2 linked regions of the Rattus norvegicus genome follow. The protein of the gene in region 1 purifies or fractionates together with the protein of each later gene. This does not show direct contact. Links are inferred from orthologs where the notes say so. Each region holds a gene or a part of one and is shown in the gene's direction. Other genes may lie near its edges.

Region 1 (4,658 bases):
ATGCAAGGCAGAAAATTCATACAGAAAAGTAAATAGAGATACAAAATAAGTAAGTAGTAAGTAAATAAATAAATAATGTGTATGCTGGTGATCAATCTCAGGGCCTCTCTCGCTTGTGCAGGGCAAGTGATCAGCCACTGAGCTATAGCTCCAGCCCTTATTTATTATGTTTTCTTCAATAATTTCTAAGTTCTTCCTGCTATACATTAATATTATATATTATATATTTATATAAATTTGGTTTGACATAGTTCTGTTGGATCTTTCCCTCACTGCTAGGGTCACACTTAGAGCCTCATGCATGCTAAGCAAATGATGTCACTGAGCTACAATCCTCAGAGTAAGCTTAGTGAGCACAAGAACTTCAAATTGCAGTTTAGCTACACTGTATATTGATTTCCGCCAATCTGCATCTCCCTATTCAGACTCCACTGGGTAAGCCTTGCAAAAGGTTCCCATTACAGAAGTCCATTGTCCACTACAAGAAAAACAAGCAGATTGTCTTCCTGCACTCTTCCCTAGTGCATGTGAATGTGGCATGCATCCTACACACATGAAGGTGCAGAGCAGGTGCAGAGTTTAAAGATTTGCTAGAGCTTTGAACATACGAGTGTATGAATTCCTGGGCCCCTGGGCTGTCTGAAGAGTTTTTGATAGTTTACCATTGAGTAGTTCTCTCTAATTGGAACATGGGGCTTAAACAAAAGGAAACCTCCAGGTCTTCAAATACTATTAAATACAGTGTTGGCAGAGTTTGAAGAAATCAAGGGTACAGGACTCACGTAGTTTGTGTTGCTGTGTTCCTGCTCTTAAAGAGTACGTCATGAGGTGTGTACTCTAAGGAAAGATTGGTTCATTTCTTTATCTCCCCAGCCTCACAGAAATAACACAATAAAATGCTCACCGCCTCTTCATGGCCTGGATTCCTATTGATAACGTGGAATGAAATTATCTTTGGTACTTTTCTGTTATCGCTTCTAGCCTTGTACTGGAAGAAAATAACATTTGTACCTTCTGTTTGTGAGTCTTTATTAGTCATTCTGGCTCCTTTTATTCTGATGCCATTTCATTTATTTGGTTCAGAATCCCAAGTTATAACCAATAATCCCACCATTCCATCATCATTTTCTTTTTTAAAGCAAAGCTACTGACTGCTGACCCATGGTCTCATTGTTGATACTTGTGGGCTCACTATTATATTTTGTTATTTGGTGTTTATTATAAAATTTTCATGAGCAAAACCACATAATACCATAGCGATGGTGTTGAGAGGAAGATACATTGTCAAGTCTATAATGATAATGGAGGGTCTAGCATGACAGTGACTGGAGCTGAAAAGTGGAACTTGCCTGAGTGATAGAATTGTGCCTATTTTGTAAGCCTGCTGTCATGGAGTCATGGGGTAGGAAGTGGGAGGGGAGGCTGCACATTTGTGCTCTCGAGTTGGGCATGTAGCTTCCTGGCTATGAACGCTCTGCTCGAGGAGCATCTCTGACATCTCGTCGATGTTACACTGCGCTGCTTGTTTGCTCCAGAGCACTGATTACGTCATGAGGTGATTCTGTGCACCTCACCGCTTCTCTCCTCATCAGGTGCTTTGCTTTGCTTGCTGTGGATCACTAGTACTTTGGCCCTTGATAGGAGCTTAATCAGTGAGTAATCAGAAGCATACACAGACTCAAGTCCAAGGATACCTAATTGGAATTTCTTTTACTTTTTTGAGACAAGTTCTCACAATATAGCCCACTATTGCCTCAGACTCAGAGTCTGTCTCCCTCAACCTCCTGAGTGCTGAGATTACAGGTGTGTATCATCACACCCTGCTCCAATTTGGAATTTCTCCTACATACTGGAAGTGTGGGACACAAAGAGATTTCAGGAGGGAGGCATATGGCTCAGAGGTTAAGCAAACTTGCTGGTTTTGCTAAAGGTCCAGGCTCCATATCCAGCACCCACATAGTGGCTCACTTGTGTCTGTAACTTGGGTTCCAGGGCATCTAGCACTTTCTTCTGGCCTCCATGGGCACTGCACACAAGTGATACTACACACTCGTGCAGGCAGAATACCCATACACATACAATAAATAAAACTTAGGAAAGACAGGCTTGTTGTATTGGGGAAAGAGGAGGAGGACACATACCTGAGAGGCGGAGTTTGAGGCTACAGAGTGAGTTCCAGGACAGCCAGGGCTACACAGAGAAACCCTGTCTTGAAAAAACAAAAAAAAAAAAAGAAAAAGGCAGATTTTATGAAAATCTCCCTCTGCACATATATCTCCCCACTCCCCAGTCTCCACAGCAACCGTGGGAGTTACTGCCCCTTGACTCATGTTGACCTCTGCAGAAAAGCATTAACATGATGCAAGACACAAGGCTGACTATGCAGTGTCCAAACCTAATTTAATATAGTTCATCTAATTTATACCTTGTTGTTCATGTTCTTAACTCTAATGTCCTGGTGCAGCTAAAACTGTCTCTGAAGTCTGGGCACACTCTTTGCCTGAGGCAGCAACAGACCTTTCTCCAGATTTAAATGAGCTCAAAGTTAATTGTCCTCTAGGCCTAAGTGGAATCTGCGCATCCTGGTTACACAGACCACCCCAATTAGGAGACTTATGTGAAGTCTTGGCTTTTCATCTACTGCTGTTTATGATTAAACAGCCTTAGAGCAATTACCTTTTGTAAATGGCTTACACTTATACATTATTACAAATTATCTATTCCCTGCCATCTAAAGGGGCTGTTTTTTTCTACCTTAAATTAAACACACATTAAAACCTGTGTCTTAGAGGAATGATTCTGCAGAGTAAGTATCTTAAGCCTTCAGGACAAGCCCTTGGTCCCTTTTCTCAAAGGCGATCCTTAGTAGTCCTAGTTACTCTGCATCTAGGAGAGCATTTGTTCATTGGACAAAATTCTGTATAGACAAAGTATTTATCAAGAAAATTCTACGTTCCTAATATATAATTGTTTTTCTTCAAAGACCTTTGCGCTGACTCTCATCTTTTTCTGGAAAACTGGATCCTTCGGACCACATGAGGATGAACCACATGGAGATGCATCATATGGGGATGAACCACACGGACGACAACATCACCATGCCACCCCACCAGCACCCCACCACCTCGGCCTCACACTCCCACGAGATGATGATGGTAAGGCTTCCACATTTGGGGTTACCCAAGAGGGAAAGCACAGCAGATCCCCCAGGCAAGCCTAGTGACTTACCAGTGTTCATGTGGCAGGCTTGTGACAGAGTGACACCAGAACCAAGATTCTGTAGAATTCTTTCTTCCCTAACCCTTTCTTTTGAAATTCACCTTTTCCTGAATTAAATCCTAGTGTTTGTATTTCATGTAGAAAAGAGAGAAAGACATGGGACTGGGGGCGGGGGGCTCTTAGTGCCAAGGTAGTAAGCCTCCCACTGCCTCAAGTATTTCTTCTTATCCAGGCAGGTTACTTTTAAGTGTTCTAAGTCTCATTGCCCGAGACTCCCAGATTCCCTTTAGGATCCTCAGTCTTCTCTAACTGACTCGTTTGGTTTTCTGGCAGCCTATGACCTTCTACTTTGGCTTTAAGAATGTGGACCTATTGTTTTCCAGTTTGGTAATCAACACACCTGGAGGTGAGTAACCAGATAATCTTCGAAGATGACAGTGTCATAAGAGATGACTCTAGATTTGGAAACCCAGCACCTCTCTCTGTTCTGTCATGGGATCTGTATGGTTGTGCATAACCATTGCAATTCCTAGTCCCTAAGCACAAGAGGCCATTTTTGATCCTCCAGTGAGTTTCCTTTAATTAATGTACATGTATTAATGCATATACTTTGGAGCGCTAAAATATAATTAAAATGCTAGATAAAAATCTTTTGCAGTCCTTTTCTTGTTTGCTAAGTTACTGGTCCTAGGCCTAAAATTATAAGCATATGCAAATATCACAGTGTAACCCTAGGTTAAAAACTGTTGATCTTGCCAAATATGGAAACACACACCTTTAATCCCAGCAGTTGAGAGACAGAGTCAGGAAGATCTTTGTGAGTTCAAGGCCAGTCTAGTCTTCATAGAGAGCTCAAAGATAGCCAGGACCTATGTAGATGCTGCCTCCCAAAACAACTGTGTTGATCTCATTACTGCCTGTTTACAGATAAACCTACCCCTGTGTAGTAGAAATGGCATGCCTGAATCACACAGTTAGTACCTCAGAGCTAAAACAAGGACCATACTTTCTAGAACTTCTAAACCAGTGCTTTCTCTGCTGCATCAAACTATGGTTTCCATATTCCTGATGCTTGGCCTATCATAGAGCCGCTCTTCATTTAAGGCACTGTCATCTATCTCTCTGTATCTGTCTTATAGTGGTGTGCTTTGCATTTAAATTACAGATGCATGAGCTTAATATTAAGTCACTTTACTGCAGAAGGTACCAAACCTATTTTGGAAATAAACCAATTTGCTTTTGGGAGAGAAAGAGAAAACATTTAGTCCTAGTAGTGTGTTAAATGTTAGTTCTATAAATACATTCATCTTAAATGCTTAACTATATATGCCTAATCCCTTAAAATGCCTTTCAAATTACGTAGGCAGCACTTGTAAAGCGGGTTGTTTTAGCCTGTGTGACAGTGAGCACTTTTGATCCCATGGCTTAGGAGGCTGAGG
Region 2 (5,179 bases), on another chromosome or scaffold:
TAGTGTTTCATTTTTAATTTTTATTACTTAATTTTGTTGTTTTTCAAGAGGGGGTTTTTCTTTGTAACCCTGGTTGCCCTGGAGCTCAGTAGACTAAGCAGATTCCCCTGCCTGTGTCTCCCAAATGACAGGATTAAAGGTGTGTGTTCACTACTGTGCCCAGCCTCCTAATCCAGCTTTATTCCTGAGTAAACTTGAGACTTGAGCCATCCCCTAGAGTGTTTTACTTGATAAATTGTATTGCCAGTCATAGCATGCTGACTCATGCCTCATAATGTCCAGTACTGAGGGGCCGGAAGAGGGATTGGTACAAAATGAGGTTCTGTCATTATTTTTATTTTTTGATGCAAGGTAGCACTGTGTAGCCATGGCTGGCCTGGGGCTTGCTCAGTAGATCAGACTCAAACACCTCTCTGCCTCTGCCTTCCAAGATTAAAGGCATACCCAACAAACCAGCCCATTTGTCTTTAAAAACGAATTAGTTAAAATAAATTAGAATTTGTTACTTTGTTTACTTCTTTACTTTTTGTTTTGTTTATGTTTTTGCCTGAGGATTATGTATGTGCACTGAAAGTGTGCAGACACCAACAAAGGCCAGAAGAGGGAAGTGAATTCCCTGAACTAGAGTTGCAGGCGGTTGTGAGATGAGAAAGGTATTGGGAATAAAACACTGGGGTTGGGGATTTAGCTCAGTGGTAGAGCGCTTAAGGCCCTGGGTTCGGTCCCCAGCTCCGGAAAAAAAAAAGAAAAGAAAAGGGAATAAAACACTGGTCCTCTACAAGACCATTAAGTTCTCTTAACCATTTCTCCAGCTCTCGTTTTTCCTTTTTTCCTTCTTTTAATTTCCTTCCTCCCTTCCTTCCTTCTTTCCTTCCTTCCTTTCTTTTTTTAATTTGAAGTAAGGTCTCACACTGGCTGGCTGGTAGTTTACTGTGTAGACCATGCTAGTCTGCTAGTCTACACTCACAAAGATCTGTCTACTTCTGCTTCCTGAATGCTGGGACTAAAAGTGTGTGCCACCAGGACCAGGTCATCTCATTTTCCTAAAATATATCTTTGTCTGGGAGGTGTAACTTGGTGGCAGAGTGCTTGTATAGCATGTACAAAACCTTGGGTTCAATCCCTAAAACTGAATAATATTGTAGCTAGACACGATGACAAACTTGTAAGTATCAACACTCAAATTGAGCCCTGAAAATTGTTTAGTTTGAGGCTAGCCTGAGCTACAGTATGAGACTGTCTCAAAAAGCCAATAATAGAACTGTTACAAAATATTCACTATTTTTTTTATTAGTTTGTTACTGGGGATTGAACTGCATACCGGCTAGCAAACATGTTATCATTGAGCTACATTTCCAGTCCATATTAATTAAATTAATTAATTAATTAATTTTGGTTTTCCGAGACAGGGTTTCTCTGTGTAGCCTTCTGGCTATTCTGGAACTCTCTCTATAGACCAGGGTGGCCTCAAACTCAGAGGTCCATCAGCTTCTGTCTTTTTAGTGCTAGGATTAAAGGCGTGGGCCACAAGCACCTGGCCTATTTATTTACTTTTTTGACACAGCATCTATGTAATGTCTTGGCTCTCTTAGAACTTGCTATGTAGACCAAAGTGGCCTCAAACTCCACAGAGAGGTCAGTCTACCTCTGTCTCCCCAAATGCTGGGATTAAAGGTGTGTGCAGCTGTGCCCTTCTTTCTAATCCAGTTTTATTCCCGAGTCAATGAGGCTCAGATTAAGCCATTTCTCAAAGTATTTCACTTGATAAAAATGGATGTGGTAGCATAACAGCATTGGGAGGCAGAGGCAGAGGCAGAGACAGAAGGGGCAGGAATTCAAGACCATCATTAGCATATGAGTTTGAGCCAGCTTAGCTACTCGAGACCCTGTGTCAAAAAACAACTTACAAAATGATTCAAACCCAGATCCATATGATCCCATGTCATTTGTCCTACAGTCTTGCCCCAGCCTGAGTCCTGGTTAAGGAAGTTATGACCATGGACTGGAAAGATGGGGCAGGTGAATATCTGCCTGAAATTGATTGACACTCAAGGGAGAGGGAGGTAACTTGGCAGTATCTCAATGCTTGTTTGAATACCTGAAATCCTGGGCTCCATCCTAAGTAACACACACACACACACACACACACACACACACACACACACACACACACAGAGAGAGAGAGAGAGAGAGAGAGAGAGAGAGAGAGAGAGAGAGAGAGAGAGAGAGAGAGAGGGCGCGAGCGCTAGGGGAATTGCCAGAGAACATGCTAACGGTGACCAGGAGCAGCTGTCATTCTCAGTGTAGAGGACCAGGATTACCTGGCCCCTTCCTTCCTGCATCTCCCACTGCAGGCTAGTACAGAAGGCAGAGCTGGTTCGGCTGTCCCAGACCCTGAGCTTGGTGCCCCGTCTACACTGGCTGCTGGTGGAGGATGCTGAGAGCCCTACCCCGCTGGTCTCGGGGCTGTTGGCTGCCTCTGGTCTCCTCTTCACACACCTGGCTGTCCTTACCCCCAAGGCTCAGCGGCTTAGGGAAGGTGAGCCAGGCTGGGTCCGGCCCCGAGGAGTAGAACAGCGCAACAAAGCCCTGGACTGGCTCAGAGGAAAAGGGGGTGCTGTAGGGGGAGAGAAGGACTCACCACCACCAGGCACCCAAGGAGTCGTGTATTTTGCTGACGATGATAACACCTACAGCCGGGAGCTCTTTAAGGAGGTGAGCCCTGGGATGAAGATGGAGAAAGAGCCAGGAGGGACCAGTGTCCTTCTTTCTCTTGCTTACCGTGTTGATGTGGGCTGGTGCGGGAAGATGGGGAACAGTAGGGAAGGGGTGTCAGTAAACAAAGTAGTTCTTTTCCTTGGACCTCCCCTCTCTGTTTCTTCTCTCCTCTCCATCAGATGCGTTGGACTCGTGGTGTCTCAGTGTGGCCTGTGGGGCTGGTGGGCGGCCTGCGATTTGAGGGCCCTCGGGTACAGGATGGCCGTGTTGTGGGTTTCCACACAGCATGGGAACCCAACAGGCCCTTTCCCCTGGACATGGCAGGATTTGCAGTTTCCCTGCCCTTGCTGCTGGCTAAGCCTAATGCCCAGTTTGATGCTACTGCACCCCGGGGCCACCTGGAAAGTAGTCTCCTGAGCCATCTTGTAGATCCCAAGGACCTGGAGCCCCGGGCTGCCAACTGTACTCAGGTAAGAGGCTGGAGGAACACTCCAGGGGAGCAGCTAACAGAAGGGGGAATGTGTGTTGGAGCCAGGAGAAACCCTCCACATATCTCACCAACTTTGCTTTCAAAGGCTACTGAGAGTCAGGGTATGGCTCCTGCATTTCATCATACAGACTTCTGTGAACCCATGTGTGCATCAGACAGACAAGGAACAAAGTCCCATTTTAGAGACAGTAAAGTTCCCCCAGCACAATATGTCATACATTGTATACCAACTCTGAATGTAGAAGAGGTGGGGTGGGGGGAAATCGGTTTTAGATCACATACCCGAGGCCCTGGTTATGGCTGGTTTTAACCCTAGACCTTCCTTCACAGGTACTGGTGTGGCATACCCGGACAGAGAAACCGAAGATGAAGCAGGAGGAACAGCTACAGCGACAGGGCCAGGGGTCAGACCCAGCTATTGAGGTGTGATGGCAATCTCACCCTGACTTCTACCTTATTTTAGGCACATACCTTGTGGGACTGGGCTCCAGGCCAGCCCAGGATGTGGCTTTTTTTTTTTTTAAGACCTGATCCCTCAGAACCAGAGGCAGCCCCTCCAACCACAGGGTGTGGCCCAGTTGCTTCTCTGCCTTCTTCCAGCCTGCCATGTGGCACTGCCCACAGGCTGGGGACAAGCAGCTTCTGTAGTGAGCCAGGTCAGCCCCATCTGGGGTGGAGCAGGACAGATGGACTCAGGAGGGAGGGTAACTTATTGGGGACAAGCATGCAGTGGGGGGCTAGAGGAGCTGGGCTGGACCCTCCCCACCTGAGCATGCTGATCCCCTTCCTACCTCTAGAATAAAGAATCTCAACCCAGAGGGGCTTCATGGTTCCCCTCACTTGGCAAACCTGCTTGCTGCTCTCTGATCTCAAGAGACCGGGTGCCTGTTCCTACACAGGACAGGCTGGGCTCCTCCTCTGCACAGTCCTTCCTGCCCCCTTCCCCTTGACAAGAGAGAGAGCAGTGACTTCTGTCCACAAACTTTATTGTAGAGTCTGAATACTAGAAAGAGTCTTCAGTCCGTTGGCTGTCACTTCCCTCTCACCCTCATCTCTTCTCAGCCTTGGTGGTTTTGACCGCAATGGCTGGGCTTCAGGACACTGGACCTTGTCACAGTCCAGCTCTGATTGCTCTAACTCCTGTAATCCCAGGAACCACTCTTTCCCTGAGCCTGAGTAAAGGATTCTGAGTTCTCCATATTTGTCCATCTTTCCCCTTCCCACCCCGACGACCCCTTCAGGTTTCTAGGCCTCAGCTAGAACTTCCTTGGGAGGTTCCTCATCTGGTGGGGCCTCCTCAGGTGCTGGCTTGTGGGCAAGCCCTCCCTGTAGCCATGCAGTTTGCAGTATGTCTTTCAGCCCACCAGGCAAAAGATAGCCCTGGGTCTCTCCTTCCCCATCAATGACTCCTCCAAGGCCTTCCAGCGCTGTCTGCAAATACCGCAAACCAAGGAGCACAAGAACCTGTAAGGAGAAGCAAGTAGAAAGGGTGATTGTCAGTGGATTTGGGGCCACAGGGCTGAAAGTAGAAGGAGTCAGGGCCCTTGTCTGACTGACCTGCAGCAATAAGGTGACAGCCAGAATACTTCCCAGTGTGCCGGACAAACCCTGCAGGTGCCCCACGAGCACTTCGTGGCACCCTTGGGCCCACAGGTTTAGGTTGGGCTGCCGAGGATCGAAGAGTGGATGGGCATAGGGGTCTGAGAGCTGGCTTTGCAGGCAGGGCCGGGGTGAGTGGGGGTTACAACAGGAGAAGGGCACTCCATCAATCAGATATAAACCTTCCACGTTGCTCTGGATCCGGCTGCAGAGACATAGATAAGATAGTTAGGTGGCCGCAGATAGAGGCCTAGCGGAGCATCTGAGAGCAGGGGCAGTTGAGAAAAATGATTATGAAACATTTACTGAGTGCTGCATAATTCATTTATCCCCACAACTCTGTACGATAGGAGCCTGTCTAGAAGATAAAGA

Evidence for each region.
Region 2: the proteins of Slc31a1 (region 1) and B3gat3 purify together in Homo sapiens (co-immunoprecipitation; 3 studies listed by BioGRID and IntAct, with this or other methods). This does not show direct contact. The link is inferred for Rattus norvegicus from reciprocal best matches to the Homo sapiens genes SLC31A1 and B3GAT3.

The regions. Positions count from the first base shown.
Region 1 is NC_086023.1:80,850,755-80,855,412, forward strand, and holds part of Slc31a1 (high affinity copper uptake protein 1), read left to right. Parts: intron 1-2,787; exon of another isoform or gene 2,788-2,806; intron 2,807-2,983; 5' UTR 2,984-3,035; coding exon 3,036-3,155; intron 3,156-3,552; coding exon 3,553-3,625; intron 3,626-4,658.
Region 2 is NC_086019.1:215,248,978-215,254,156, forward strand, and holds the end of B3gat3 (galactosylgalactosylxylosylprotein 3-beta-glucuronosyltransferase 3), read left to right. Parts: intron 1-2,354; coding exon 2,355-2,715; intron 2,716-2,897; coding exon 2,898-3,188; intron 3,189-3,538; coding exon 3,539-3,637; 3' UTR 3,638-4,025; downstream 4,026-5,179. Other genes in the region: Rom1 (rod outer segment membrane protein 1), read right to left, coding at 4,454-4,672, 4,766-5,012. UniProt on the Homo sapiens protein: Glycosaminoglycans biosynthesis. Involved in forming the linkage tetrasaccharide present in heparan sulfate and chondroitin sulfate.